Ovis aries: one gene and its partner. The protein of the gene in region 2 binds, or shares a complex with, the protein of the main gene of each other region. Links are inferred from orthologs where the notes say so. Each region holds a gene or a part of one and is shown on either strand. Other genes may lie near its edges. The genes, in order: COLGALT1 and PLOD3.

The links.
Region 1: the proteins of PLOD3 (region 2) and COLGALT1 are in contact, whole or in part, in a cryo-EM structure (PDB 8ZGE), measured with the Homo sapiens proteins. The link is inferred for Ovis aries from reciprocal best matches to the Homo sapiens genes PLOD3 and COLGALT1. Residues at the interface, in NP_001075.1 of Homo sapiens: Leu226, Val229, Val230, Leu231, Lys232, Phe233, Asp234, Arg235, Arg241, Gln261, Tyr264, Leu265, Pro275, Gly430, Ala431, Leu432, Arg440, Glu442, Glu446, Arg452; in NP_078932.2 of Homo sapiens: Ala36, Tyr37, Phe38, Pro39, Glu40, Glu41, Arg42, Trp43.

Annotation. Positions count from the first base shown.
Region 1 is NC_056058.1:5,310,052-5,325,622, reverse strand, and holds the end of COLGALT1 (procollagen galactosyltransferase 1), read left to right. Parts: intron 1-2,762; coding exon 2,763-2,839; intron 2,840-2,916; coding exon 2,917-3,023; intron 3,024-3,273; coding exon 3,274-3,406; intron 3,407-4,958; coding exon 4,959-5,086; intron 5,087-5,850; coding exon 5,851-6,057; intron 6,058-6,255; coding exon 6,256-6,523; 3' UTR 6,524-7,784; downstream 7,785-15,571. UniProt on the Homo sapiens protein: Beta-galactosyltransferase that transfers beta-galactose to hydroxylysine residues of type I collagen. By acting on collagen glycosylation, facilitates the formation of collagen triple helix. Also involved in the biosynthesis of collagen type IV.
Region 2 is NC_056077.1:35,917,574-35,933,054, reverse strand, and holds the end of PLOD3 (multifunctional procollagen lysine hydroxylase and glycosyltransferase LH3), read right to left. Parts: intron 15,326-15,481; coding exon 15,234-15,325; intron 15,061-15,233; coding exon 14,924-15,060; intron 14,840-14,923; coding exon 14,676-14,839; intron 14,546-14,675; coding exon 14,433-14,545; intron 14,272-14,432; coding exon 14,208-14,271; intron 13,655-14,207; coding exon 13,557-13,654; intron 13,328-13,556; coding exon 13,226-13,327; intron 13,022-13,225; coding exon 12,896-13,021; intron 12,690-12,895; coding exon 12,568-12,689; intron 12,343-12,567; coding exon 12,238-12,342; intron 12,123-12,237; coding exon 11,997-12,122; intron 11,684-11,996; coding exon 11,542-11,683; intron 11,453-11,541; coding exon 11,339-11,452; intron 11,152-11,338; coding exon 11,083-11,151; intron 10,567-11,082; coding exon 10,462-10,566; intron 9,946-10,461; coding exon 9,799-9,945; intron 9,367-9,798; coding exon 9,241-9,366; intron 8,897-9,240; coding exon 8,741-8,896; 3' UTR 8,451-8,740; downstream 1-8,450. UniProt on the Homo sapiens protein: Multifunctional enzyme that catalyzes a series of essential post-translational modifications on Lys residues in procollagen. Plays a redundant role in catalyzing the formation of hydroxylysine residues in -Xaa-Lys-Gly- sequences in collagens.

The DNA of each region.
Region 1 (15,571 bases), on a different chromosome or scaffold from region 2:
ATGCAGGGCATTTCTTGTTTGCCAGCATTGCAGAGAGTTCTAGACATGCCTCTGTAGGTGCAAAGTTAGGAGATATTTACCAGATTGCTCTCACTTCTTACGTCAGTTACATCAGGAGTCCCCAAGAACATGTTCAGGTTGGGTCATCTACTAGAAGTACTCAGAGCTCACTGCAAGCTATTAAACTCACAATTTATTACAGCAAAAAGACACAAGTTGCAGTCTTGGCAAAGGGAAAAGGCGCGTGGGGCAGCATCCAGGAGAGTTCCGAGCACAGGGATTCCTGTGTCCGTTCTCTGCGGAGTCGCATGGACAGTGCTTGCTTCTCCCAGCGCTAGCGCACGGCAACATGCATGGCATACTGCCAGCCCGGGCTGCTCCCCAAGCTTCTGCGTCACGGGCTTATGCTGGGGCTCATACAGATACAGCTGATGCCATGTGGCTGACCCCCGTCTCCAGTCGCTGTAGAGCCTGAGCCAAGACCCCAACCCTAAGTTACACTGTTGGCATAGATACCCATTATGGCCCAAGGCCTGAAATAAACAAAGACATTTCCAAGGTCTTCAACTACCCAGCAGCAGAGAGCAAAGGCCAGACCTCTCTGTGGTCAAGTTTAATCCTTCACCCTATGATAGGTCTATCAATGTTACAAATTTTTTTTTTTTTTGGTTAATTTGACTGTGTCTGGAGTTAGTTGCAGCCTCTGGGATTTTCCACTGTAGCTCACGGGCCCATGTGCCAGCTTAGTTGCCCAGAGCATGTGGGATCTTAGTTTCCCAACTAGGGATTGAACCTGCATCCCTTGCACAGGAAGGCGGATTCTTAGCTACTGGATGACGGGGAAAGTCCCAAGGGGTGTTGCATTTTTATATCACTGTGACATAGCTGCATTGCCTTGCTCTTTCTGGACCTTAATATGCTCCATTTCCCCAGAACTGATACTCCACTTCCCACAGGCAGATCCTTCCCACATGTACACCCCAAGGGGAGCAGGCAGAGACTGAGAAAGAGAGGGAGAGTAATTTGCAGCCGGATTCTCAGATCCCTAAGCCTTGCCCTTTTGGGTCCCAGGGTCCCCTGAGGATGGCAGCAGGTGGCAGGGAGCTGTGATGGGTCCCGAATAGGAAGAAGCCCCAGGGTGCAGTGTCCCTAGAGGAAGAGGCCCAGGCTTCGAGGTGGGAGGCTCCGGGTGGACTCTGGGCCTCACCCAGGCCTCTCCTAGACAGAGGGGCCTGTGTCTGCCCTGCTAGCTCACACGGGGCCTTTGTTCTTGGGGAGGTGGATGCCACGCTCACTGGCATGCTGGGCTTTTCTGGGCCTCAGCAGGCTCATAGTCCCCTGTGAATCTATTCCTTCTATGGGAAACCATCAGGGAAGGGCCAAGACAGGGCTCTGGGGATGTGGTCTGAGCACTGCCCACAGCAGCTAAAAGGGGAGCGCTCATGACCACCCTGAAATTCTTAGCATACCTGGGCTTGTAGACACCACTCCAGTCACACGGCCGCCAGCTCCCTGTGTGTCCTCACCCCGTCTACCCTCCGTGGGGGTCTCTGTGTCCAGATTTCCCATTTTTATAAGGACCCCAATCATACTGATTACATGCCAAGTGTATATGTGCTAGTGGCTCAGTTGTGTCTGACACTTTGTGACCCCATGGACTGCAGCTCTGTTCAGGGGATTCTCCAGGCAAGAATACTGGAGTGGGTAGCCATTCCCTTCCCCGGGGGATCTTCCTGACCTAAGGATCGAACCTGGGTCTCCTGCATTGCAGGCAGATTCTTTACCGTCTGGGCTACAGGGAAAGCCCATATTGATTAGAGCCCACCACCCTAATGACCTCATTAAAGATCCTATTTGTAAACAAAGTCACCTTCTGAGGTACTGGGGATCAAGATGCCAGTGTACCTTTTGGGGGGAGGACACAGTTTAACCCAAAATAACATGTGATTTCATGGCATCGCCTCATGATAGAAACCTCGAGAGGTTTTTTAGTCCATTTTCAAGATTGAGGGAAGGAGGAGAAGGGGGCGACAGAGGATGAGATGGTTGGATGGCATCCCCAACTCAATAGGCATGAGTTTGAGCAAACTCTGGGAGGTAGTGAAGGACAGGGAAGCCTGGCGTGCTGCAGTTCATGGGGTCGCAAAGAGTCGGACACAACTGAGCGACTGGACAACACAGATGAGGAATGTCATTCCTTTGCTTGATTTATGAGTTTGTGCCAAGCTCCTTGTTGGGTGCCAGGGAGCCAATGTGAGTGGGTGGACCTGGGGTCCGTCTGGTGGAGCTCACGGGAGATAATCAGAGAATTGGGACTTAAGGCAGCCGAATGAGGCTTTGACGGAAAGCTGGGTGCTGTGAGGGCCTCCAGAGAGGTACCTGACTCAGCCTGGGGAGGTCAGGAGACTGCTGTTGGTGCATCGCCCCCCTCCCCAAGACATCTTAGCTGATAACTCAGGGAAAGGAAGTGAGGAAGGAACAGGGTTTCAGCGAGGCCCAGCATGTGCAAAGGTCCAGAGGTAGGACTACGGGATGGATAAGTCTGGAGCAGTGCCAACAGCCAGAGTGTGTAAGAGGCAGAGGAGAGAGACTGGCACTGCTTCTGTGGGTGGGGCAGGGTCAGGCAGGGTCTCTAGCATCAGGCTGAGGAGCCTGGGGTGACACCGAGCCATGCAGAGGTTGGGGAGGGGGCATCAGGAGCGAGGCTGGAGCCCTCCGTCTCCATGACCCCCTGCTGACCCCTCGGCTTTGCTGCCCCCCAGTGAAGCACCCACCCTCGGAGCCCTCGCGGTTCATCTCAGTGCCCACCAAGACGCCAGACAAGATGGGCTTTGACGAGGTAGGCTGGGCCTTCCCTCAGGGTGGGGGCCGGGGGCCGGGGTCCAGCCCGGGTCCAACAGAGGCTGTGGGCCGCAGGTCTTCATGATCAACCTGAAGCGGCGGCAGGACCGGCGGGAACGCATGCTGCGGGCCCTGGAAGAGCAGGAGATAGCGTGCCGGCTGGTGGAGGCTGTGGACGGCAAGTGAGTTGAACCGTGCTGGGGGAGGAGCGGCGCCACGGGTGGGTATAGACCACCCTGATGGCCCCGCGGCGGGGGCGTGGGTCTGACGCTGGCCAGGTGCTCAGACCTGCGCATGGGTATAGACCACACCCAGGCAGGCCACATCCGGTCCGGGATGGGTTGGGGGAGGGTGGGGAAGGGAGGCTCACTAACTGGTGGGATTGTGGATAAATACAGTCTTCCTCTGCCTCCCACCCCTCCCCACTTGCAGAGCCATGAACACCAGCCAGGTGGAGGCTCTGGGCATCCAGATGCTGCCGGGCTACCGGGACCCCTACCACGGGCGGCCCCTCACCAAGGGCGAACTGGGCTGCTTCCTCAGCCACCACAACATCTGGAAGGAGGTACCTCTGGCAGAGGGGCGGGACCCTCCTCAGCCTTTTTTTTTTTTTAATGTTATGTATTATGATTTTTATTTATTTGGTTGCCTCCGGTCCTAACTGCAGCACTCAGAATCTTCCCTTCACACAGGGGCTTTTCGTCGCAGCTAGGGGATTCTCCAGTTGTGGCTCTCGGAGTCTCTAGTTGTGGCTCACAGGCTTAGTTGTCCCACGGCATGCTGTATCTTAGTTCCCCTACCAGGGATCAAACCCGTGTCCCCTGCGTTGGAAGGCAGATTCTTAACCACTGGACCACCAGGGAAGTCCCCTCCTTGGGCTTCTTAACAGCTCAGGAAGGGAATCCCCTGCACCCCAGGCAGGCTTCCAAAAACACTGCAGGACACTCAGCCTCTCTGCTTGGGTGAATATGGCACCTGGTGGGGCAGCTGCCATCTTCCCACTGTGCAGATGTGAGTCCTGAATCTGAGGAAGAGTGAGCCTGACTGTAGAAACAGGTGGGGTCTGAGGCCCGGGACCTCCAAGTGAAGCTTCTTCATACCCAGCCACTGTCAAGAATCTAGAGCCTGGGCACCATGCTCAGAGCTTACTAATAGGAGCACCAGCCACAGTGATGTTAACTAGTGCACAGCCCACACATTGGTGTCCCATCAGCCACAGAGGCTCATCAGACACCCTGGGAGGGAAAGGGTATGATGGGCGAGGATGCCAGATGGGGCTTCGAACCTGGAACCATCCAACTTGAGGCCACATTTGGTGTTTGAGGCAGTGCATTCTCACCCAGGTTGCTCTATTTTTCTGACATTCATCATGGAAGGTATGGGGCAAAGGTTGCGGTGTCCAGGAAGCTGTGGAGCCAGAGGGGATCCAGGTTCAAGTACAGCCCTGCCTCTGAGCGGGGTGAGCTTTGTGAGCAAGGAAGGCATTTCCCAATCTGAGCCTCATTTTCCCAGATGAAGAAGAGAGTCTTCAGCCATGAAGACTAGCAAGTTCATTCATTCAGGGAAGATTTGTCAAGTACCGACTGCGTGCCCAGCCTGGTGCTGGGCCAGGGGACACGACAGCCCCCAAGGCACACCCAGCCCCCCACAGGGGATTCACAGCCCTAGGAGCTGGGGAGACTGATGCTAAACCACAGAGAAATGACTAATGTTGAAATAAGTGAGAGGCACCTACAGGAGAGGTCCAGGGTTATGAATCGTCCTAAACTAGCAGTTTTGGGTGATAGTCATGAAGGATCTCTTTAGTTGACGTTGGAACTGAGGCCAGCAGGGTGAGAGGGATCCTGCCTGCTGCTGCATGGGAGAAGGGTGCTCTGTATCAAAGGCACAGGGCAGGCCCAGGCCCTGGGGTGGGAAGGGGCAGCCAGGCTGAGGCTGTGGAATCTGCTTCCAAGTTGTAAGGAGGTTTTGGCCAAGAGGTAGATCTGAACTTGTGGTGGTGTGTGTGTGCGTATTTTGCTTTTTTCCTGGTGCCCCAGACCTCTTAAGCAGAACTAGCTTTGGGGTCAGGCCCAGGCTTGATCTCTCCAAGATCTCAGCGGGGCCTCCTCCCTCAGGTTGTGGACCGCGGGCTGCAGAAATCCCTCGTGTTTGAGGATGACCTACGCTTCGAGATCTTCTTCAAGAGGCGACTGATGAACCTTATGCGGGATGTGGAGCGGGAGGGTCTGGACTGGGACCTCATGTGAGTCGGGCCTGGGTGGGGCCGGAACTTGGAGGTGTGGCCTGGAGACTAGCTCTGAGGGCCTTTGCAGGGTAATAGGTTGGGTTTTGTGGGAGGTTGGCAGGAGGACTCATACTTGACCTGGAAGTCGGGGGTCCTGGAAGCCTGCCAGCTCTTTCGGGGCCTGGAGACTTGCCTGGGGCCTTCCTCTTAGCCAGTGTGGCTGAGATTTGACTTGGAAGCCTGTGGGTGTGGCTAAAGAACTTGGGGGTGTGGCCTGGGTGGGTGTGGTCAAGGCTTGGAAGCAGGGCGGAGCCTTTGGTGCCGAGTGTGGGGGGTGGCCCAGGGAGCCTGGATCTTAGACCACTTCTAAGTGGAGGGTGGCCAACGTATTTCCAGAACAGTCTCATGTAGGTGGGTTGGTTCATCCCTCCCCTGTGCAGAGCCCTGATCCGGGTTCTGAGCCTCAGACTCACCAGCGTGTCATTAAAATGAGCAGTAATGGGTCCCCTTCACTCCTGACCGCTTTACCTGAACCCTCCACCTTGCCCACCCGTCCCACTGCCCTCTGAACCCAGAGCAGCTTCCTTCTCAGTCGCACTCTGCTCCTTGTGGGCCCTAGACATCTGTGGACCTGTTCTCACCCAGTCCAGTCACACCAGCCTCCGCAGTGCTCCCCAGTTCCCCCACCCCAGGGTCTGACAGCGGCTCAGTGGCTCCCTGGGTTAGCATTCTTGGGCAGGTAGACAGGCGGAGGGTGAGAGAGCCCCCATTCTGCACCCCAGCTACGTGGGCCGGAAGCGGATGCAGGTGGAGCACCCCGAGAAGGCTGTGCCCCGCGTGAGGAACCTGGTGGAGGCCGACTACTCGTACTGGACCCTGGCCTACGTGATCTCCCTGCAAGGCGCCCGCAAGCTGCTGGCTGCCCGGCCGCTCTCCAAAATGCTGCCCGTGGACGAGTTCTTGCCAGTCATGTTCGACAAGCACCCAGTGTGAGCGGGGGCGGCAGTGGGCAAGGGGAGCTGGGGTCTCGCTGTGCAGCTGGCCTGGTTAGGGGGTGTGAGGCTCGCGGGCCCCAGGAGGGGGCTTCTCCTCTGCCTTCTTCCTCTGCCGCTTCCTTCATGAGTCCCCTTCGCCACGCGCTTCTGTCTCCATCTGTCTCTGACCCCCACCCCGCTCCTCCCCTGCAGGTCTGAATACAAGGTCCACTTCTCCCCTCGGGACCTGCGCGCCTTCTCCGTGGAGCCCCTGCTCATCTACCCCACGCACTACACAGGGGATGACGGGTACGTGAGCGACACGGAGACCTCAGTCGTGTGGAACAACGAGCACGTCAAGACCGACTGGGACCGCGCCAAGTCCCAGAAGATGCGGGAACAGCAGGCCCTGAGCCGCGAGGCCAAGAACTCCGACGTGCTCCAGTCCCCGCTGGACAGTGCCGCCCGGGATGAGCTCTGAGAGCTCTGAGGGGCAGTGGCCGTGAAGCCAAAGCAGTGGTCGCTGGCCCGGCCCCCACACGCCCACCGGGGACCTGTGGCCCCTGGCAGGCCCCGGAGGGCTCCCCTCACTGGGCGGCGTCCAGCCGGCTCTTGCTCAGCAATCACGTGCACGCAGGCAGCATTAATGGAGTGCCTACTGTATGCCAGGCGGCCTGGGTGGGAACTGTTCATCTCTGGGTGCACCCAAACTTGGATTGGTTGCAGGGTGCCAGGTTCCCTTGCTGATGGAGTCAGTCATCAAGCGTTATAGATCCCCCATCAAGAATCAGGCCCTAGTGATACACATTCACTGTTTCAATTCCTGCGAGTATTTATTGAGTGCCTGCTGTATGTAAGGCACCATCCCAGGCTCTGGGACAAGTGAGGCATACTTTCATTTGTTTGAGCACATACTGAACACCAACTCTGTGCCCGGTACTTGTGACACAAAAGTTCTTACCGACTCAGTGCATTTATGGAGTGCCTGCTGTGTGCCGGGAGCTGAGCATGGTGCTAGGGCGGAAGATAATCAAGGTGCTTTTCACTCTAATTGGTTTCTTCTCCACACATCCAGAGAACATCTCCTGCGCTAGTGAAGCAGGAAACCGGACAACAGCTGTTCAGTCAGCATTCGAGCCCCCACAGAGGTGGGCGAGTCCTTCCATTTCTTCATGCAGCGAGCACTTACTGCGTGCCTGCTGTGTGCCTGACCTCGCGGACTCCCGGTGGGGCTGACTGAGTTTGATTCCTCTTCTGCACCACCCCCGTCACCTGAAATGTGTGTGCATAACATCCCCCCACCACTGCCCAGGAGCAGGGGTGACTTCCCTCAGCAGGGAGAGCCACGAGTTTCAGTGACCCCACGCCCTCATGCAAGGCTCCCCTAGACCCAGCCCCCCTGGAGGGGGCGAGGATCCCCCTGTCCTCGGTTGCTTGGCCGCCCTGCCCTGCATCTCAGGTGTGGTCTACCTGCTTGATGGCATTCTTTTGTCCAAGCCTCTGGTGGGATCATGTGTTTGGGGCCTCGGACGGGCTCCGCTGCACTGGGGCGCTATCCATGGCCCGGGCAGGAAGTCCCCCAGCACAGCCTGGAGGACTCACCGTGCCTTCAAGCCTGAAATGAATGTCAGAACCGGCCAGCGGTGCCTCGTCCTCTGAGGGGTAACTAACTGTTGTCCCGGTCGGGTTCTGGATAACTTGCTTATTTTTTTATTAAATGTTCCTGGTTGGGTTTTCACATACATCTGTGTTCCCTTCTTGGCCCGATGGTCTGCTCATCACCTACACACCACCCACACTCCCCACCCCCTGCTTCAGGCCAAGACATGGGAGGAGACCAGGTGCTGGCGGGGAGCCAGTGAGGCGGGTGAGGGCGGAATGAGAGCCTGGTGCCCCAAGCGCCCTGTGGAACTTATCCAGCATAGTGCAGGGACGACAGACGGCCAGCCGCACTCTACCCTCTAGGGTCAGCTACAGGACTGTCTCAGAGGACAGAATGAGGAGGGCGCGGTCATAGTTTGGAGTCTCAAAAAAATAGACCCTGAGATGAGGACTTGAGTTATCCAAGAGATGACCCCCAGATGGCCCCCAGGGTGACGCAAAGAAGAGCGGGAAGGAGTCCTGCAGGGGTCGCCAGTGGGCCATTCAGTTCAGTTCAGTCGCTCAGTTGTGTCCGACACTGCGACAGTGAGCCATTAACTACAGTAACTGGGGACCTTAGATGGGGCTGAGCAATATATAGCATCGACCTTAGAGTGGTCCCAGCCCCCAGATGAGGGAGGTGGGGCATTTATCCACCCTCAACAACATGTACATTTTCTGGGTCAAATACTTAAACGTTTTCAAGATTCTTAAGCCCTTAGGGCTTGGAGGCATATACCGGAGGCTTTTACAAAATAACAGATGGTGTGTGATTCTAGTGAAGAAATGAGAATTTACAGCTAAGCAAACTGAAAAAAGGCAAAATTAAATCATACCTCCTCAGAGACAACAACTTAACGTTCTGGTGACAAAACTTTCCAGTCTTACCCATGTGCATGGTGCAAATATATACATGTTTTGAAAAAGAAGTTTCATATTACATAAACTCTGTTACAGCCGGCTTGTATTTTCTCCCACACATTTTTATTTCAGAAACACAGGATCAAATTGTACCCTGGTTTTTTTTTTTTTTTTTTTTCACCCGCAGCAAGGTTCTTTATAACTTTAACAGCATATTGTGGACATTCTAATCAGCACAGGCACCTACCAGCTCTTTTTGGATTGTTACATACAATAAAAAATACCATAATCAGGATGGACCACCATTTACTCAATCATCCTGACCGAAGAATATCACAGTCCGGCAGTGAACGGCATTGTACAACACATCTTTCCTACTGGATTTTTTATTTCGGTTGGGTAAATTGATACAGATGAGATTGCTGGGTTAACAGAAATGAACGCTTGATGTTTCAGTAGAGACTACCATATTTACTCTTGTTAAATCCTAACTATTCATCTTTGTCTACCAGGGTGTCCAGTCCCCTCTCATCAGACACTGGAATCATTTCTCATGCATTACTGTTGCGAGTGATGGTTCCATATCTTAACTCTAAGCGGTTAAATTAGGATTTTAAAATTTGGTGGGTCACTATTGGGTTGTGTCTCTCCAGGATATCTGGTGATGTCTGGAGACATTTCTGGTTGTCATGACTGGGGGTGGGTGCTATTGGCATCGGGTGGACAGAAATTAACCATGCAGTGCATGGAGAAGGTCCATAACAGAGAATGATTGGGCCTTAAAAGTCCACAGTCACACCCAGTTCCATTCAGCCTCCTGAAGACATGAGCCTCTAGAAGAGACTTCTTCATGGCGTGAGTAAAATTTCCTTCGCTATGAAATGTCTCTGATTCAAATGTAGATTCTTAGGCTCTGTTTCCAAACTGAAGAGGTCAGAATCTTGGAGGTGATGCCTAGGAACCAGAGTTTTATTTAAAGGGCAGCAGAGGGTGAGATGGTTAGATAGCATCACCGACTGTGAATCGGGAAATTCTGGGAGATAGCGAAGGACAGGGAAGCCTGGCATGCTACAGTCCATGGGTTGCAAAGAGTCGGACATGACTTAGCCACTGAACAACAGCAACAGTCCAGTTGTCTATGGGGCATTCCAGGTGGCACAGTAGTAAAAAAAAAAAAAAAAAAACCCCACCTGCCAATGCAGGAGACGCAAGAGACTCAGGTTTGATCCTGGGTTGGGAAGATCCTGCTGGAGAAGGGAATAGCAACCCGCTCCGATATTCTTGCTTGGGAAATCCCATGAACAGAGGAGCCTGGCAGGCTATAGTCCATGGGGTCGCAAACAGTCGAACAAAACTGGGTGACTGCGCACACACGTGGGTATCTTGTTATCTAACTTGGATCTCTCCTTTGCTCTCTGAAACTGGGAGAACCACATCCTTCTAGAACATTCCAATAGAACTGGCTTACCAGGGGGAACTGAGGCTCCCCACCCTCACAGAAGGGGCAGTTGGGAGATTCTAGGAAGCTCCAACTTGGGGCACATACCTTGTATCTGTCTCCATCAGAACTGCCTTTCTTTTATTGTTGTTCTGAGTTTTGGCCATGTCGTGTGGCATACAAGATCCTTAGTTCCCCGACCAGGGATCAAACCTGTGCCTCTGCATGCAACCATGGAGTCTTAAGCCCTGGACTGGCAGGGAAGGCCCACAACTGCTTTTCACTGAACAAGGGAATTTGAATTCCAAAATATCAGATGTTTCCATGCCCCACTGCCGGCAGTGTGAAGTGAAAGCAAAACCAAGACATCTCCGATTGCTTCTGCCTTCCAACCCTCCACTCCCGCCCGAGGGCTCCTGTGGCCTGTGGACCTGAGCGCAGACACTGATGCAGGGACTTCTCGCAGTGTGGCTGCAGCTCTGCAGCCTCTTCCCAGAAAGGAGTTGGGTGGGGGCGGGTGCTGATGTCAGCCCAGCACTCCCTCTCATTTAGTGACTGTCCATTGTGATGGTGGGAAGAATGACTATGTAATTACAGACTGCATAATCATAGAAACTGTTCTGTGTAATTGCAGGATTAGGAACTGAATAATTATAATGCAGTGTAACAAATTACGGAATGAAATGTAATCTCTCGTAGACATCACAGTCATGTTACACCCTCCAGGGACTGAGTATGCATTTTGCTGACTTTCTCTGAGAGAGCCTGCTGTGTTGGCAGGTGTCATGACGAAGAGGTGTGGGGAGACAGTGGGGTTACGTAGTTTAAGGGGGAGCCGAGGGTTCAGGTGAGAGTGGAGGGTGGGGTGAGTATAAGGAAGGTGGTGATAGAGTTTAGCCTAAGGTTGGGAGAAGTGAGAAGAACCAGGAGGGGAAGTTGAAGAAAAACGGATTAAGTCCTGTACCATCCTCGTGGTCCAGTAGCTAAGACTCTGAGGTCCTAATCCAGGGGGCCTGTGTTCCCATCCCTGGTCAGGGAACTATATCCCACACGTTGCAACTGAGAGTTTGAATGCCACAACTAAAAAGCCCACATGCCTCAACTAAGACCCAACTCAGCCAAATAAATAAAAAATAAATATTTTTTTTAAAAATGGATTAAGTCAGGGGTTGGCAAACTATGGCCTGAGGGCCAAATCTGGCCAGCCATGTTTCATCGTTGTTGTTTTTTTTTTTAAACTGGGACTTCCCTGGTTGTCCAGTGGTTAAGAATCTGCCTTGTAGTACAGGGGACTCAGGTTCGATCCCTGGTCAGGGAACTAAGATCCCACATGCCCTGGGGATGCTACTGAACCTTTGAGCCACAGCAAGTGGCGCCAGAGGTAAAGAATCTGCCTGCCAATGCAGGAGACACGAGATATGGTCTTGATCCCTGGGTTGGGAAGATTCCTCTGGAGGAGGAAATAGCAACCCAATCCAGTATTCTTGACTGGAAAATCCCCAGTATGGTAATTCTGTTTAATTTTTTGAGGACCTCTCATCCAATGCTCCATAGTGGCTACACTAAAAAAAAATATTTTAAAGCGTTTATTTATTTATCAGGTCCCAGTTGGGTGGAGGAGCCTGGTGGGCTGTAGTCCGTGGGGTCGCTAAGAGTCGGACACGACTGAGCAACTTGACTTTCACTTTTCACTTTCATGCATTGGAGAAGGAAATGGCAACCCACTCCAGTGTTCTTGCCTGGAGAATCCCAGGGACGGGGGAGCCTGGTGGGCTGCCGTCTGTGGGGTCGCACAGAGTCAGACACGACTGAAGCAACTTAGCAGCAGCAGCAGCAGCAGGCAGGATCCTTGTTGCAGAGTCAGTAGTTGTGGCACACAGGGTTCATTGCCCCATGGCATGTGGGATCTTAGTTCCCCAACCAGGGACCAAATGACTGTCTCCTACATTGGAAGGTGGATTCTCAACCACTGGACCACGAGGGAAGTCCGCGTTTCCTTCTTTCCCTCCCCATTTCTTTTTAAAAATTTACTTATTTTATTTTTGGCTGTGCTGAGTCTTCCTTGCTTCGAGGGCTTTTTTCCCAGTTGCCGTGAGCGGGAGCTCCTCTCTAGCTGCGGTGTGCGGGCTTCTCATTGTGGTGGCCTCTCCTGTTGCAGAGCGCAGGTTCCGGGCCCGAGGGCTTCAGTAGTCGCAGTACACAGGCTCAGTAGTTGTGGCTCACAGGCTTAGTTACTCTGCAGCATGTGGGAGCTCCTGAGATGAGGGATCCAACCTGTATCTCCTGCACTGGCAGGCAGATTCTTTACCACTGAGCCAGCAGGGAAGCCCCCGATTTCTTTTTTAAAAATTATTTACTGTTCATTTTGGTGAAACTCACATAATATCAAAGTAACCAATGAAAGTGTACAATTTAATGCCATTTGATACATTCGCCAAGTTATGCGAACATTTTCATCACCCCAGTGGAAACCCAGTACTCTTGAGCAGGCACTCCCCAATGTCCCCTCCCTGCAGCCCCTGGCAATCTGCTTTCTGTCTCCTCCTCTGGACATTTCATATGAATGGAATCATATCTGTGCAGTCTCTTCCGTCTTATTTCTTTCATCACCATGCTTTTTAGGGTCATCCACATTGTTCATGCATCAGTGCTTCTTTCCTTTTTAAAGCCAAGTAACACTCCACCGGATGGATGGACTGCACTTCATCCACTCATCTGTTGATGGACACCTGGGGTTGTTTCCAGCCCCTGACCAGTGTGAGCAGTGCTCCCCTGAACTAGAGCAGCTTGTTTTTCCGAGCAAAGTTCTATCGTCACTGAACCCTGCCATCATTCACATGTGGCTGCTTTCATGCTACAGTGGCAAAGTTGAAGAGTGGTGTCAGAAACGGTGTGGCCTAAGATATGTACTAGTTGACTCTTTACAGAAAAAAATTTGTTGACTCCTGAGTGAATGAGTTTGGGAGCTGGGTCACCTGGGAGAAACTGCTAGGTTTTTTTTTTTTTTACTCAATATGTATTTTTTATTGTTGGTGACAACGTGTTAATTTCTGCTGTACAGCAAAGTGATTCAATTATACATATATATGTATATTCTTTTTTAAAAATATCCTTTGCACGATGGTTTATCGTGTTATATGTGTGTTAGTTGCTCAGTCGTGTCCATGTGACCCCATGGACTGTAGCCTGCCAGGCTTCTCTGAGAAAGAGGTTTCCCAGGCAAGAATACTGAGTAGATTGCTATTTCCTGCTCCAGGGGAACGTCCCACATCCAAGGACTGAACCCTGGTCCCCCACACTGCTGCAGATTCTTTACCATCTGAGCCACCAGGGATGCTCTTATGGTTTATCATAGGATATTGAATATAGTTCTCTGTGCTTGTAGAAACTTCTGGTTTTGCCCCAGTAACATTCTTAACTATAACTATGGTTGAGAAAATGGCCGCAAAGAGCACACTTCCCAGCATCCTTTGCAACTAGGTACACGCCAGAGGGAGGTTCTGGTCGGAGGACTCCTAATGGAAGCAATGGTCACAGCCTCTTGGTCTTGCCTGAAGGGATGACATTTGACCTCCTCAGGCCTTCCCCCTTTACCACCAGCTGGAGCAGACATCTTGGACCCTGAGGGAGAAGAAGCAAGATGAAAAGATGGTTCTGCATGGCCATATCAGCCCTGGTAATATAATATAATTGTTATGCTCCGAGCCCATATCTCCGAACCGACGGAGAGAGCAAGTCCACCACAGTAATGCAAAAACAAGAAGGGAGTTTATCTCTAGCGTGCTAGGGCTCAAGTCTCATCCCACACAAGGGAATCCGACAAGAGCAGCGAACAAAGGAGTATGGCGGCTTATATACAGGCAGTTCTTTGTCTCAGTTACAGGAGTAGCTGGCGTTACATGATTGGCCAGGCAGGATGAGCGCATATCCTGTCTCTTTCTGGTAAACATGACTCAGGTCCTAGAGACCGTCGTTTGGTCCCTAACATTCCCCCCTGTCCTTAGATCATATAGAGGAATCTTCCTCTCGGTCCTGAGACACAGTTTGATATTGTTGTTGAAGCACAAACAGCTGTACGGTATTTATGCGTTCCTTCACAAAGGCTACAGGTCTATTGATAATGCATGGGCCAAAGGTAAGCATTAGTAAAATACTAGCAGGGGTCCCAGCAAGGTGGAGATTAAGGTAGTCAGCCAAGGGGATTGTTGAAACCAAGATTCAAACCATCCCTGTTGAGCCTCACGTTCTCGTTTACATTGGGCTAGTCCTTCTCTCACTTTGGCCATAGATTGTCTAACTATTCCTGTATGATCCACATAGAAACAGCACTCTTCTCCTAGCGCAGCACAGAGTCCCCCTTGTTGCAGAAAGAGCAGATCTAATCCCCTCCTGTTTGCTTTTTTCTGGATTGAACCTTATTCTGATTTGTGCATAATTGCAACTTTCACAGCTAAAAGTTGGATCTCCAAGGACCCTAGGGAGGGGCTTGGCAAATGAAAAATTAAGTAAATCTCGATTTTTTACTTCCCAGGGCCGAGGTCCATCATTAGAAGTAACACAATCCCAAGTTTTACAATAAGAGTCTTGTGCCCCCCCACAGAACCCTTGTTCTCAGAGATAACCCCTAGCCCAAGGCACATTTACCATCGGCTTAAGGTCAAAGTATAAGTCTGGCCACCATGTGTTTGGTGGATGTATTGCGGTAGTGGAGTTTAGCACCTCTCGTGTTAGTCCGTTTTGCAGCTTCCAGGTGATTTTGACGGGTTGATGCAGGTTCACGCTGGCAACTCCAGAGCAGAGTAACTGGGTCATCTACAAGAGGGCCCAGCCGAGTTGTCCTGGTCCTTTTGGCGCCTTCGAAGCTTTAGCCTCAAGGGGTTGGACGGGTGCAGAGATGCTTTCCATTCTTTTTTAGCGTCTTCTTGCTCTGCTGAAGCAGCTGGGCGTACGTGGTTGCAATGCACCCAAGGCCCGATACTGTCAACCTTTAGGGCAGTTGGGGTGGTAAGAAGAACAACATAAGGACCCTTCCATTTGGGTTCTAGTGCCTTGGTTTGGTGTCTTTTGACCCACACCCAGTCTCCTGGGCCAATGTCATGTGAGGGAATAGTTCCCTTATTTTGACCCACATGTATTTCCCGGAGCAGTTTCCAGACACAAGAGTGCACCTTGCTTAAGGCCATCAAGGCCTCTTGGAGTTGCCCCAACGTGGGAGGCGGCAGTTTTTTCCCTTCAAATATTGGACATACAGGGGGAGGTCTCCCATACAGAATCTCAAATGGGGTCAGATTAAGTTGATAAGGAGTATTACGCACACGGAAGAGGGTGAAGGGAAGGAGGGTCACCCAGTCCCCGCCAGTCTCTATAGCCAATTTAGTTAAAGTTCCTTTTAGAGTCCGATTTATTTTTTCTACTTGCCCTGAGCTCTGTGGACTGTATTCACAATGTAACTTCCATTTGGTCCCCAGGGCTAGGGCAAGGCTCTGAACTATTTGACTCACAAAGGCAGGTCCATTATCAGAGCCGATGGTCACTGGCAGGCCAAACCTGGGAACTATTTCTTCTAAAATCTTTTTTGCCACTATCATC
Region 2 (15,481 bases):
CCTGGACACGGGCGCTTACCCACAGTGGTGATGGGTCTGGCCAAGGGCACCAGGCCCCAGGACTTGTTTGAGAAGAGACCGCGGCCCCAGAAGATGCAAGGAGAAATGCCCTCGAGCTTCTTGAAGGTGATCTGGAACAGATGCTGCCAGGAGTCTGGGGCAAAACCCTTAACTCTGAAGATGTCATTCTCCGCAAAGGAGTACACAGGCACCAGGGAGGCTCTTGGTTGTGGGGGGGGGGGGGGGGGGGGGTGTGTGTGTGCAAGAGAGAAGACGGCTAGTCAGATCAGGGGTCTAGGAGTGCCCCCACATTCTCCCCCACAAGATACCACTTCCCAAGACCGTTTGAAGCAAATGACAGTGGCTACAAAGAACTCTCTGGGAGAAGGGACTTATGTTTCTTGAGAAACGAGTGTGTACTGGGCTGTCCTCTATACATTTTTCCACACAGTTACCAACCACCATATGGCAGAAACGTGGGTGTTAACCCTGTATCACAAGTAAAGAAGAGTGGGGCCCTCCCTGGTTGTCCAGCGGCTAAGAATCCACCTGCCAATGCAGGGGATGGGTTTGATCGCTGGTCCCCGAAGGGCCCACATCCGGTAGGGCATGAAGTCAGTGTACTCAACTGAGCCGGTGCGCCTAGGGCCTGTGATCTGCAACAGGGGAAGCCACCACAGAGATGCCCGCGTACCACAGCTGGAGACTAGACCCCAGTCACTGTAACTGGAGAAAGCCCACACAGCAATGAAGACCCAGCGCAGCCAAAATGAACACATAAATAATAGATGGATTTAAAAAAAAAGAAGTGTGCAAGTTCTTGTCTGTGAGACGGTGTCGTAAAAGATTGTGAACCCAGGGTGTCTGAGTCCCAAGGTCCAGCAGTTTGTACTGTGATCCTGTCTCTCTGTGTGGGAGGAAGCCTGGGGAAGGGGCACCAGGGCTAGGCACAGAGGAAACACCCAAGGTCTGCCTAGATGTGGTCACGGTGGAGGCTCTGGGGACACACAGCCCACCTCCAGGGGACCGGTGTGTAGGGATAGAGTGCAGATCCCCAGAGACATTGTGAGGTTCTGACCTTTGAAGGCAGCCCTGGCTGGGCCCCCACTCACCTGTGCCTCAGTGCCAGGCGGACGAAGCCTTTACGATTCCGGAGAGTGAGGCAGTGCTCCCCTGGGATGGCATACAGGGCCTCGTGGGCTCTGCCGATCACGATGACCACAGCCTGGCCGAGCTGGGAGTGGACAGAGTAAAATCCAGGCTCTGGTGGTTCACAGAACATACTCCTGTGGACAAGACGGGGTGCAGGGACAGTCAGTACCCGCTACTTGGCTCCCTAATCCCTCACTCTGCCCTTTAGCACAGGAAGTATGAGCTCTCCACCTCTTTCCTTCCAAGCTCCATATCCCCGTGCCTCTGTCCGTGTGCCCCACAGCACCTCTCCCAGCAAGGATGTGGAATGCTCGCTCCCAGACCAGTCACTGACTCCCACTGTAAGCCTGGCCAATGTTCAAGTCAGGTCCCGGGGCTGGGTGGTGGGCCACTCTGGCAGGAGTGGGGGGACCCCTCCTTCGCCTCAGGTCAAGACTTGAAAGAAAAGTGAAGTCGGTCAGTCGTGTCTGACTCTTGCGACCCCATGGACTGTAGCCCATCAGGTTCCTCTGTCCATGGGATTCCCAGGTAAGAATACTGGAGTGGGTTGCCATTTCCTTCTCCAGGAGATCTTCCAGACCAAGGGATTGAACCCAGGTCTCCCACATCATAGGCAGACGCTTTACTGTCTGAGCCACCAGGGACAAGACTTACCATATGACAAAAAGTAGTCTCGATAGACTGGAAGGTAGAAGAGGTTGTTCAGCCCGGTGGTCTAGGGCTGAAGCCTGCCGCGCTCTCAGTCGCGAAGTTACAGAAGTGTCCAAAGCACATGTGGGTGAGTGACCAGCAGCTAATTGTGGTCTGGGGGCAGCTCTGCCATTTTCACCAACTGTGGGAGGGGGGTGGGCAGAATGAGGGGAAGAAAGCAGAGAAGGCAAGATACCAGCTGAAAAGACCTCTCTTCCCACCAACAGACGTGAGAGTTCAAGGTCCTACTAGGGTGTCAAGGGCACAAGGGCTGCCCTCTGGATCACCATCCCATTGCCTGACCTGTTGCCTGAACTTAGGCAGCCAGGGCTCAGACTCAGCCTGGGGAGGGGCAGATAAGGGACAGAGAAGAAGCAGAAGGTGGAGGGTGACCTGTTACCTTAATGGGAAAATAATCCCTTAAGTGTTTCCAAACTGTCCGGTTCCTCATCCACTCAAAACGCCTTCCGTCTGGGGCAGAGCGATAAGGGCGGGGTGGAGGAATTCCTGGAGACACCCTTTATCACCTCTTCTCCCCGCACCCTTGTTTAAGCGCTCACCTTGGCGGCGTGTGTCCCGGTCCAGGAATAACCATACGGAGTAGAGAACAGAGAGCCACCAGAGGGAGGTAAAGAGGAGGAAGAAGGCAAGAAAGGAAAAGAAAGGGCCTGGGTACAAATGAGAAAGAAAAATCAATTAGCTTTTAAAACCACAATGACTTCTCTCCCCTCCACTCTCACCAGTGAGAACGCCACCCATCTCCCAGCTGGACCTCTCCCCCTCCCTTTGTCTTGGGCCTCCACACAGGTGCGGCTCTCCTTCCCCTCCCCATTCTTAGGCTCCCCTTTTCCCTAGTGTACCCTGGGCACTGCCCTGCTCACCCATGAAGAGGAAAGTGAGCATGTATTGGCAGGTGCTCACTACTTCCAGCCAGTTTCTGCAGGGTTTTCTGGCTGCGGGAAGGCATCAGGGCGGTGGAGACTTTCAGGTGCAGCCCTTCTGCCAGCAGGGCTCCTGGACCAGGGGGACAAAGGATGGAGGCTTTGATAGGAGCTTGGGTAACCTTTCCAGTCTGAGTGGCTAAGTCCCTGAGGCCTTCTGCGATTGCTCACAGGAGACTGTGCAAGTGGAGACCTTTGAATCTGGAGCTCCACAGGTCTCCAGGCTCCTGACAACTGATCTTGAAACTTCTCCAGTGGGTGGGTTTGTGTGATCACTGGGCGAGGCTGAGCGGTGGGTTAGGGCCTGACACCCAGGTTCCCCTCCAGGTGCATTAGGAATCTTGTGGGGGAGGGGTCACAGAAGAAGCCAGAGAGCCCACAGACTGGGTCTCAGCCGAGACCATGTGATCTCCAGAATGGCTAGCAGATCCTGGGCTCTCGCCCCATTTCTGTTTGCAGGTCTCCGGGAGTGTCTAGGCCACTGTGGGGTGCAGCCAGGCACGCGGATATCCATGCTGCGCACAAACCCACCAGCCAGTTCCGTTCGGCCGCTGAGTCGTGTCCGACCCTTCGTGACCCCATAGACTGCAGCACATCAGGCCTCCCTGTCCATCACCAGCTCCCGGAGCTTGCTCAGACTCGTCCTGTCCATCCAGTCAGTGATGCCATCCAACCGTCTCATCCTCTGTCGACTCCTTCTCTTCCCGCCCTCAATCTTTCTCAGCATCAAACCCACCAGCACAGCAGGTCAATCAGGACAGAGTCCAGGGCTGCTATTGTTGTGATAGGGCAGCCAGGATTTCAGGCCCCCAAAAGGAACCTTCACTTCGCAGAGCACACTGGAGTCAGCGGGAGGAGTTGGGGGCGTGACACCAAGGCCCACCCCCAGGTGCTTTAGGGACTCTGTGATCTCTAGTGTGGCCAGCGGATCCTGGTGTGTCTGTGGGTCTTCGACAGTGTCTAGGCCACTGGGAGGTGCAGCCAGGCGTGTCGATATTCCAGCCAAGCACAAACAGCACAGGTGGTTTCCACCTTTAATTTCAGTCCCCATGACATCCACCGAGGGAACTGTTAGGGGAAGCACACTGACTGAAACCACCCACCCTGGCCAGGCACCATAGTAACTATTTGCATGAGTTGTTTTATGACAGGAGGTCCTGCTGAGGAACACGGAACTAATTAGCTACCACCAACCGGAAGAGTTCAGGAAAGGTCAAAAGGAGACACCACATGTCCGACCACCTCCCAGAAAATCTTCTCTCTGGCATCCATCTTGGCTGAATAAGGTGTACACCACCAGGAAGGGCTCTGAGTCAGAATGATTGGCTAAGGACAACCCAGAAACTAATCCCATCACCATAAAACCCGAGACTGTAAGCCATGTGGCAGAGCTGTTCTCCTGGGTTCCCTTACCCTCCTGCTCTCCACCCGGGTGCCCTTTCCCAATAAAATCTCTTGCTTTGTCAGCAGATGTGTCTCCTCAGACAATTCATTTCTGAGTGTTAGACAAGAGCCCAGTTTCGGGCCCTGGAAGGGGTCCCCTTTCCTACAACAGAACCACTGCGGGCTGGGGGCTGCCTAGCTGAGGAGGAGGTGCATGTGGCTGGGGACGCCATAGCGTGTCCTGTGCGCTTGGAAAGCTGGGAGAGCCGCTGCAGAGAGGCCACACTCAGCCATCCACCAGCGCAGGGGTGAGCCTCGGGGTTCGCTGCACTGGGGTTGGGGACCCAGCTTGGGCGGAGAGAGGCCAGAGAGGTGGCTGCTGCAACTCCTCTTCCCGGCCCCCAGGATCAACTGGGACAGAGTTCACGGTCGGCCCAAGTGTCAAGGACCAGCCTGGGGACAAGGCTGGCTGCCAGAATTTCAGGTCCCAAACATGGACCTTCACCTCTCAGTGCAGTTAGAGGCCTGAAGACTGACATCTGAGTCCTCCTGAAAAGAGGGAGGAAGGCACTGGGAGATGCAGCTGGGACCAGGCACCCCCAGAGGCTAAGGAGGGCAGGGAGGAGGTGACCGCAGGGACTGGGGGTCCTGAGACCCAGGGCTCCCCTGCTCACCAGCACACAGGATGTAGTCCCGGAAGACAGGAAGATGGCCGGGATGGGGCAGCTGGAGCAGGTGGGGCTCGAGGCCAGGGATGAGGAGGGAGAAGCCGTTGGTCTGTGTGCTGAAGGTGCTGAAGGTTCCACCAAGAGGTAGTTGTAGGAGGGACCCAACACTGTGGTGCCTCCAGCTGCGGACACAGGGTGCACACCAGTTTGGGGCTTCTAAGTTTGGACTTTGGGGGTGACGGCCCCAGAGGTCTACCCTGGGACCAGGGTCTACCCTGAAGCCCAGCTCCCACCCAGCACAGAGCTCCACAGTGCCTCAGCGAGATGGGGAGGTGGTCCCAGAAATGTCTCCACGTGGCCCAGTTGGGGACCCAGGCACAGCCACGGCCTCCTGCCCAAGGTGTATTTCTGTCTCCATAGAGCCCATCCAGGTAGTGAATTCTAGGATCCAAGCCTGGCTCAGGAGTACAAGGAATAAGGCAGTCATGCACTCCTGGGCTGGAGGTGATGGGAAGGGGTGTGAGGACTCTGACTCCAGAGGTTTAAGTCCAAGCTCTCCCCTTAACCCCCTTCCCTGTTCCATCGTTTCAGGTACATCTGTCCAACCTACATCTTTCTCATCTCTTGAAGGAACCCCCCCAGCCCTGGCAAGAGATCCCAGCCTCGCCTCCCTCCCACCTTGGCATCGGGAAACAGAGAGCCAGACCCAGGGGTCCTTAGGGCTTCAGGGACTCACCAAGCTCCAAAACGGAGACGATCCATCGCAGGAGGGCACTCACCTGGAGGCCGGTGGAGGCGGCTGGCCTTCTGTAGAGGGGAGTCACACAGGAGCCACTGCGGCTCTGAAGCTTTCTGTCTTCTGGCCCAACCCCTGGCTCTGACCCCTGACCTGGGCTCTGCCCTCTTTTCTGCTCCCTCTGCTGACCTGCACAGTGGACCATCATGAGCTCTGGAAAGGGAGGGTTAACCAGCTCTTTGGGTTCACAGGGTTGGGATCAATAGGGCCGAAAGGGGAGACCAGGGACATGGCTTGGAGTCTGGCGGTGAGGAAGGTGTTTGGACTTTGTGGAGGTCAGGACTGGCTCCCTGTGATGAGCACACTGGCAGCGTCCTGGGCCAGTGGAAGTTGCCGTGTGTGTGTGTACCCTCCACAGCAGGACTCCCCATTTGTCACCCAGGCCTGGCCCCTGTTGGTTAGAGGACCTGCAGGAGGATTTACTCCCTGAGGAGCAACTTAGGCCTCTGTGGGGAGACCTCTGGAGGGAAGGGTTTTATGGGAAAGGCTAAGGGTTGGGGAGCCCCTGCAAGTGCGAGCCCCCTGGGCTGTGAGCACTCCATCCATGCCGGCCGGGCCAGTCCTCACTGTGACTATGGCCCTGTTCAACATGGCTAGAGGCTGCAGAGCAACCACTTTTTCCAGGTCAGGGACTGACACCTTTTTAAATTAATTATTTTTTTTGTCTGCGCCTTGCCTTGTGACCAGGGATTGAATCTGGGCCCTTGGCCATAAGAGGGCAGTCCTAACCACTGGACCTACAAGGAATTCCTAGAATGTCACTTTAAAAATCTTTTTAAAACATTTTGATACAATTTTTAAAGATTACTTTTCTTTTAAAAAATTCTTGGCCACACAGTGCAGCCTGTGAGATCTTAGGTCCCCAACCAGGGATTGAACCCTGACCCCCTGCACTGGGGAGAGGGAGTCGTAGCCACTGACTGGCCAAGGAAGTCCCTAAAGGTCACTTCTCGTTTCTAGTTCCTACAACATGTTGGCGCTATTTCCCATCTTGGACAAACATCCTTGAGCCCATCTTAAACTCAGTATTTTATGATGATGCTGATTTCCCCACCCCTACATCTTGACCCTCCTCACTGGTAGGACATGTCTTTTTTTTTTTTTTTTTGAATGTCACTTCTTTATCTTTTAATTTATTCATTTGGCTGTGTTAAGCAGGACCTTTCATTCCAGCACACAGACTCTATAGTTCTGGCACAAGAGTTCCCCGTCCAGAGGAGCCAGGGGTTGAGCTGCATGGGCTTAGTTTCTCTGTGGCATGTGGGATCTTAGTTCTCCGACCAGGGATCGAACCAGCATCCCCTGCATTGTAAGGTGGATTCTTAACTACTGGACCACCAGGGAAGTCCTGAGCCACGTTAAATGTCACTTCTTTTACGGAAGTCTGACACGCAACTGTCAGAAGCCTCTGTCACGCATCACATTCTCTCCTGGCACAGAATACTTTCTCTCCATCACCATGATTTTTAACGTGGACCATTTTTACGGTCCTCATTGAATTTGTTACAATGTTGCTTTTATTGTTTACATTCTGCTTTTTTGACCATAAGGCATGTGGGATCCTAGCTCCCCAGTCCGGGATCAAAGCCACACCCACTGCATTGGAAGGCAAAGTCTTAACCACTGGACCACCAGGCAAGTCTCCCATCATGGCAATTTTCTGATCAAAGTCTCCCACACACCGTGAGCAACAGAAAAATTGTGCTCATCACTGCAGCCGTCAAGATGGGTGCCCAGCGCATGGGAGACGCTCTGTGAATGAAGGGTGGAGACAGGATAGGCTTAGGCTGACACACCCTTTCTGCCCCTGTCCTTGGCCTCACACCTATGCAGCTTCACTGACCAGGGACCTTCTGTTAAGAGGGATATTTCCTCCTATCCCTGCTCAGCCCACTCGCATCACAGGGCAAGTGATGAGGGTGGTGGGGGCCTGGGTGAGATGAACTTTAGAGTCTAGCCAGAGAGACGCTCAGTCCACGTGGGAAGGTGACCCACCCAGGGGTCCAGGAAGGATGGAAGGATGGTTTCATGCATGAAGTTTTCCTGGGAATCTGGGTAGGAGGAAGGAAGGACAATTTAGCTGTGGATGCAAGTGGACTGTTAGAAGCTGGAAATGTCCTAGGACAGGTGCTTGATTTTTAAAAGGCGTCCGCCAGGGAACATTGGGAGATCAACACAGGAAGGCAGCTGGTGTAAGGCTGGGGAGGACCAGGCTAAAGGGGCCTGCTCTGCTGTCCTCAGGGTACCTCCAGGGGTCTCTGCAAGCTTTTGATGCTTGAGACTAGAGGCAAAACCAGCTCTAGGAGGTCTTTTTTTTTTTTTCAAGGCTGCTTCCCTTCCCCTTCTTCCAGGAAGCTTTCTTGGGTTCACCCTCCAGATTCCCCTCTCCTGATACCATGTGACTAAAAGCTGAGGTCCAAGCGCTCTCAATAAGTTTCCACCCTGTCTTCCCTCCTACAATGCGTGTCCCAGCACTATCCCTGGACCCTAGCTCAGGGCTGTGCCTCTCTCATCCTTTCTGCATGGGAGAAGATGCCATCAGGTGAGGAGAGAATAGGGGACGACAGTTTGGGGGCTGTGCGGGAGTGGGGGCCTCTCATCTCATCCTGACAGGGGAAGTCCTTCTCTGGGTCTGGCCTCCAACACACCCCTCCCGAGCTCTGGAATGACAAGGAAGCTTCTAGATTCCCACTCTGCTCTAATATCACGTTTCTGTCATTTCTCCTTTTCAGTTCTCCTTTGGGGTCACCCTCGGTGTCCCCTCTGCCCTGGGTGGTGGGATGGACAAGGGGTCCACAGGTAATGAAACAATAAATGGGCTCAAGAATTACAAACCCTCCTTTATTGAGAGGGAGACTGAGAAACAATAATTTATCATGTAGCGAACCCCCAGAGGTCCTGTCCCCATGAGCCCTTGGGGACCGGGGAACAGGACAGGGGGCTCCCTGAGCTTCCTGAGGGCCGTGTGGTGGGCAGCGAGGCGACACATTCAGTCCCAGGCACACAGACCCCATATACCCAGGAGGCGAGGAGTCCACACCCACCCCGCCCCAGGAGGCAGGGCGCGGGAAGGCACGATGGCACGGAAGGCTGGGCAGAGTGGCTGAGTGTCAGGGGTCGACAAAGGACACCATGATGTAGCGGGTGCCCCGAGTGGTGGGCAGCCCCTCATGGTAGTGGGTGAGACGGCCCGGGTGCAGGAGCCCCCAGCCCTTCCTGGGGGACGAGATCACACAGTCGTAGCGCAGGAAGCGGCATCCACCTCCCTGGAGAGACGAGAGGGGAAGGGGCTGGAGAGTGCGCAGACGTGGGGACTGGGTGGTGAGCTGCCCCGAGGCGAGAGAGGCCAAACTGGGCATCAGGGAGGGAGGGGACAAGAGGGGTGAGCATCGGCAGATGGGGGACACAGGACACAGGGGGTAGCCAGCCCAGAAGGGGTCCAGAATATGACCCCAGAGGTCACTGGGAGATGTGACGAGGGCAGACAAGGGGCAGGGAGGTGACCGTGCCTGTGAGGGGGCTGGACACAGGGCCTGGGGGAGGGGAGTGCGTGTGTGTCTGTGTGTGTGGAGGGGCCCGGGGGAACCCTGAGTGGAGGGTAGGGACTCACCTCATAATCCAGGCCCTTGTGGTTGAGGGCGACATTGAGGGTGAAGGTGGATGAGTCGTGATGCGGCCGCAGAGAGGGCTGCTCATCCGGTCGGTAGCGGACCACGAAGTTCATCACCGCCCGGGTCTGCGGGCACAGGGGAGGAGAGGCTGGGGGGATGGCCGGGAGGGTTCTCACTGCTCCCTGGGGGCTGCTCCCCCAGAGCTTCCCTCCTGCAAGGTCTCACTCTGTGTGTTTGACTCTTTGCGACCCCATGGACTGCAGCCTGCCAGGCTCCTCTGTCCATGGGATTCTCCAGACAAGAACACTGGAGTGGGCTGCCGTGCTCGCCTCCAGGGGATCTTCCCGACCCAGGGATCCACCCGACCCAGGGATCCACCCAGGTCTCCTGCATCACAAGCGGCTTCTTTACCATCTGAGCCACCAGGGGAGCCCGGATCTCACTCTATGGGGCCTATTTAAATGTTTCACAGGCCAAAAGGCATTGTGTGGAGCCGTCCAGCCAGCACAGGTGTGGGAAGGCGGAGGAGGGAGCAGGGGTGGCGTGCAGTGGCCCACCTTGGTGTGGTAGCCGGGGAACAGGCTCTCGGTCATGGGTCCCACATACGTCCTCAGGAGCTGTAGCCACTGGTCCTCGTAGCCCACCTGTTTCATGTGGATGTCCACAGTGGGCACGTTCTCGTAGCCTCCCGCCAGCCTAGAGTCCTGTGGGTACAGAGCTGACGCAGTGGTGCCAACTTCTCCTCCTCTTGCTCCCAGGCCTTGGAAGTCTGCGCTCCCTCCTTCTGGAAGTCTCCGCCACGTCTTAGCTGACTCACACCTCCTTCCTCTAAGTCTCAGCGAAGATGTCACCTCTTCTGTGAAGCCCTCGGTCCCCCCGCATCTGGGTCAAGTTTCCCACCTGTGACTCCCGCAGCACTGAGGCTGTCCATCACAGACTTCAGAAGCTAGCTCCCTGCTGCTACTGACGGCAGGTGGGGCTGTGGAGGGCAGAGCTCCACCTGCACGTCCAGGTCAGGGGCTGGTGTCTAAGGACCTGCCCAGGGAGTATTTCTTGAATGCACGGTGGAATGAAAGAATACAGAGGTGCCCCCTGTCTGCCTTTTCCTGCTCGGGGACCCCCTCTCTGTTCCCACTCTCCAGATTCCATTTTCCCTCAATCAGGGAAATGCCCCCTCCCTCCTCCTGGGGGCCCCCTCCTCCGCGGTCCAGGCCCCTCACCTCATGCCGGCCTCCTGACCACTGGCCGTAGTGTTCCATTTCCTCCACCAGCTCATCGCACATTTGCTCAGACAGGAGAGGAAACCAGTACACGTCTGGGCAGGGCTGAGTCAGGACGGGGCAGGGGAAGAAGAAAACAGGGCTGGGTGATGCTCCAGAAGGGGACAGGCAGCCAGTGGGAGGAGACAGAAAGCAGGGAGCAGAAAGGTAAGCCAGGACAGGAGAGAACGTGGAGGGACGGGCAGCTGAGCGTGGGGATGGGCTGGTCGGGGGAGTCAGGAAGGGGACCGATGCGGCCAGAGAAGGTGAGAGCAGTGCTCAGAACTCGGCACAGACAGCACGGTTGCTGGAGCCCTGGGTTCTGGGACAGTGGTTTTCAACCTCGTTTTAAAAAATGTCATTTCACCCATACACCAACACACCCAACGGACAAGGGAGGACCACTGGGATGAATGTTGGGCTGGGGGCTGCATGCCTATCAACTCAGCCCTTGCCTTTGTCTTGCCTGAGCAGAAAACCCCCAGGCACCTGGGCAAGGACCCTGGGAGAACCCCTCATCCAGGTGGTGGGCCCCAGGGGCAGCGGCCATCCCCTTGGGCCGGGGTCCTGAGCGGGGCTCACCTGTTCCACGAGCCCCTCCCCTTCCAGGGCCCGACTGTAGTTCTCGTGAATATACTGCTCCTTCCAGTCCTAGGGGAGAGTGGGGGGGTGCTCCTTGACCTTTGCCCTCTTCACACCACTTGCTCCCACCTGGGAGGACCCCTGCCCAGGCGGCAGGCGACCCTGCCCAGTGCGCACGCGCGTGTGATGGGGCCGGGGCGTGGCATTCCCCTTCAGGGAAGGCCCGAACCATCTGAGCCAGGGGCTGCCGACTCACCAGGGGGTTGTCAAAGATCTGCCAGAGGTCAGGGTGCAGGTGGTCCGTGTCATACCGGGAGGTGGCCAGGAGGCGGCCAAATTCATGCTGATTGCTGAGGTGGAGGAAGATGCCCTGGCAGTGGGCAGAGGGTGTAAGGAGGGCGATGGGGAGCCAGCGTGCTGCCCCCCAGCGCCCCCACCAGGAGCCCCAGGCCCCCTCACCTTGTCCCGAAGGCTCTTACAGAAGGCCATGTCTGGGTCGGTGTCGCTGCCCGAGAACACCTCCCGCTGGGGTAGCTCCATCCTCAGGGTCTCCCCACGGATCACGTAGGCCTGGGATATGTAGGGCACGTTCCACACGCCCCTGGAGGCCCACACAGGGGTCAGCTAGGTGGGTGCCCCCTGCGGGCGGCCCCCTGCCCCCCCCCACCGTCCTGCCCAGTTCACCCCTGGAGCCCCTTCCCTCGGCAGCTGAGAGCTGCGAGGTCCCTCTTGCTTCCCCAGGGAAGCCCTGCTGGTCACAACCCTCTCACACCCGGCTCCACCATCAGTCCTTAGCTACCCCACAACCCAGCACGCCTTCGTGGTGGCCACATGGGGCCCCCGAGTTCGGGCCTTTGGGGCAGGATGGAGGGGTCTGGGAGGGCTCCTGGGTTGGGGGAGGCTGCAAGACTCACACTCGCTTCCTCTGCACCAGCTCCACGTAGTCCTCCGAGCGCGCGTAGTACTCGTCGGGGCTCAGGGCCCCCCAGAAGTTAGACCACAGCTTCCCATGGCGAGACAGCATAGGCGCTATGACCTTCCTGTGGACAAGCGCAGATGAGGGCAGGGAGGAGGCAAGCCCCATGGCCAGAGCGGGAGGTGAGGTTCCCTGGGGACTAATCTGGGGGCCCTCTGGCCAAGCCCGGTGAGAGAGACCTGTTTGCTTCAATGAGGATGCGCAGGGTCTGCGGGTTGGTGATGACGGTGTCAGCGTCCAGGCTGAAGTAGAATTCACACTTGGGGTCCTGCCGGCAGATGTCCCTGGAGGGAACAGACCAAAACACAGATGAACAGGAGCAGGTGGGGGGGGGGGCGGGGGCTGGGTAGGGGGTGGAACTCCCCTGACCCGCAACCCGTGGAAGAGAGAGGAGGGAAAGGGAGTAGAAGGAAGCTGACCAGCTGGAAGTCAGGAGGGAGGAAAAAAAGACCGTGGGGAGCAGGGGAAGGGAGGGAACGGTGCAGGCGCCCCGCCCGAGGCTCACTCACATGGCCATGTCCCTGGCCTCTCCTGGGGTCAGGGCTTCCTCGGGCCCCACCAGCTTCACAGCAGAGAAGTGGTCCTGGAGCTGGGGCCAGGAGTCATCGATGTGGGGCTCGTGGTACACCTCCTGGAGGTGCGGGGAGAAGAGACTAGAGTGGGGACGCCGGGAGGGCAGAAAGGTGGCATCTAAGGGACAGGACGGGGCGGGAGGAACACTTCCTGCAGGAGGAAAGGCTACAGGAAGGAGTCTGGGCTGTGGGGAGAAGTCTGATCTGGGCAGCAGGGGTGGGGAGGTCCCTTGGGAGGGAGAGGCTGGCAGTCGGGGTGTCTCACGTTGTTGTGCAGGAAGAGCGTGACCCTGTCGGGGGGGTAGTCCAGGAGCAGCAGCCGCTGGAGGAAGCGGGGCAGGAACGGGGTAGGTTGTTCCACAAACACAGCCAGAAGTACCCGGGGGGGAGGCTGGAAGATTCAACAATGTGACAGGTCTCAGAGGAAAGCCCAGCTCCCCTACCCAGTTTGTCCTCCGCACCCTGCCAAGTTTAGTGGAGGGTGGGGAGGCGGGGGGATCTCCAGGGGCTTTGCCTCCACCCCTACTGCCCAGCACCCTCCTGGTACCCTCTGCTTCAGAGCACTCTCCCACCCACCCTGGCACCCCCTCCTCACCTGCCCCCCCGGGAGTGGCCTCCGGTCCTGGTTACAGAAGCCACAGCCTCCTTCAGGAGTCCAGCCGTTGGGGACGTAGTTTCCCAGGTAATTCAGCTGGAGCTGTTGGGAGAGGCGGTGAGAAGCTGAGGTGGGGCCAGGGGTGAGGGAGGTGGGGGCAGGGACCGGAGAAGGGCAGGGGGAGCGTGGGCACAGAGAACCTCTTCCAGCTCCTGCGCTTCCGGGGCCGGGGAGGTCTCACGGCTCGGAAGGCCTGGAGGAAACTGGGGGGCTGTGGGATCAGGACTGACTGGGGCAGGGGCTGGGCTGAGGGGAGAAGCGATTGGAGCACCTTCGTGGGACCGTTCCCATGGACTACAACAGGAAGCGTGTCGTAGGCCACATTCCGGATACGCACTCGATTCCGACCAAACTTTAAAACCACCTCATCTGGGGAAGAAAGTCCAGGCTTTAGACTCCCTTACTCTAGAAACTGCCAATCAGCAGGTGCTTCTAAATACAGTGGAGGTGGTGGTGGTGGGGGTACCCAGGTGTTCTAGAGGATGAAGGACCGTGGTCCATGGGGCAGGGATGGGATAACGTCTCTCTCTGAGGGCACTGGCCAGGCTGCTGCCACCTGGGGAGCCCCATCACTTACTACCTGTGCCCCCCGGGGAAGTCTCTGGCCCCGCAGGGAGGTGGTTTCCCCATATGTAACCAGTGGGTAATCACAGACCGCCTTTCATAGGATTGTTATGTTCAATGAAATTCAAGAAGGAAAACCCTGACCCAGAGCCTGGCACGTAGCAATGGACGTGTACAACAGGGGCTGCTGCTATTCCTGGTAGCAGAGTGCACCTTATTCTGTGGGCCATTCAGACTTTTGCTGAAGTTAACACAGAGGTGAGCTGAAGTTCACCCCTGATCTACCAGGAGCCCCGCCCACATTCAGGATCCCTAACAGCCTCTCTCATCGTCCCTTTTCTCATTGCTGTCTCCTCACCTAAAGCCCCGTTGAGGTTCTGAAATATCCGCGATTTATGATCCAGACTAAGGCCGAGTTTCTCCTGGATGGGATGAGGTAGGGGCAGTGAATTAAAGAGGAGCTGAGACATCTCTTCCCACTCTTTCCTCTCTGTGTCTTTCTGAAAGCCTCTTGACTCCTTTCCTTAGGGCCTGCCACCCCCCAGAGCTGCGGGGATGGGGGCCCTTCTCGGCCTCTCCCTACCCTCAGTCCTGGGTCCAGGTAGAGCCGAGTGTAGAAGAGCTGATCGTCATCGTCATCTTTGTACTTCCACTGGCGGACGATTTGGTGGATGGTGGGGGCGAAGCCGATGAATCCTGGCAGGGGGAGAGGATGCGCTGACTCCCAGACTCCCCAGTGTCCCAGGGCCGGTCCCCACTCCCTCGCCCGCCCTCAAGCACCTGGGACACTCCATTCCCCACCACTGCTGGACCCTCTGCCACTCACCACCAGAGTTGAGGAAGCGCTTCCCTGTGCCCACCTCAGGGTACTGCTCTGCTAAGCCCCACTCAGGCCAGCAGAAGCTCTCTGCGGAGAAGAGCAGGCGGCTGCCACTCTGGATGAACTTCTTCAGCAGCTCCGAGGGGCCGCCAGCCAGAACCACATCATAGCTGAGGGAGGCAGAGGGCGATGAGGAGGACGGCCACTAGGAATCTCCCTATCCTCTCCCCTTCTGTCCGCCCCCTCCCCTTTACCTGTCCACAAACATGATGACCATATCTTCCCTCTCTGCATATTTCTCCATTTCCTTCTTGAGCCACCTGACTTTCTGTCCTCCACCGACCGTTCTGGCGACATCACCGCCTCGCCACTCCTCTCCCAGGCCCAGGGTCTGTGGGGAAGACCCAGAATGCCAGGGAGGGTCTCAGGTGGCCAGGTGGGCTCATCGCCCTTACCAGGCTCACCGGAGGGTCCCAGGCATCCAGCCCTTGGCCCACTCTGGGTGGGGGTCCAGGCGCCATCCCGACCCCTTCGAGGGGCCCGGGAGGGTGTTCCTCTCCTCACCCGCACAGTGTAGTTGAAAAACTCCGCTGACTGCAGGAAACGCCGGTATCCCTCTGTCTCCGCTGTGGCCACGGTGATCACCAGCAGCTTTTCTGTCACCAGACAGGACTCAGCACCCAGCTTGCTGCCCCATGTACTCAGATCACCGACCACCTCCCCTCCCCCCACTCTCCCCCACCCCCAACGCTGCTCCTGACCCTGTGTGTGTGTTAGTCGCTCAGTGGTGTCTGGCTCTTCGCGGCCCCATA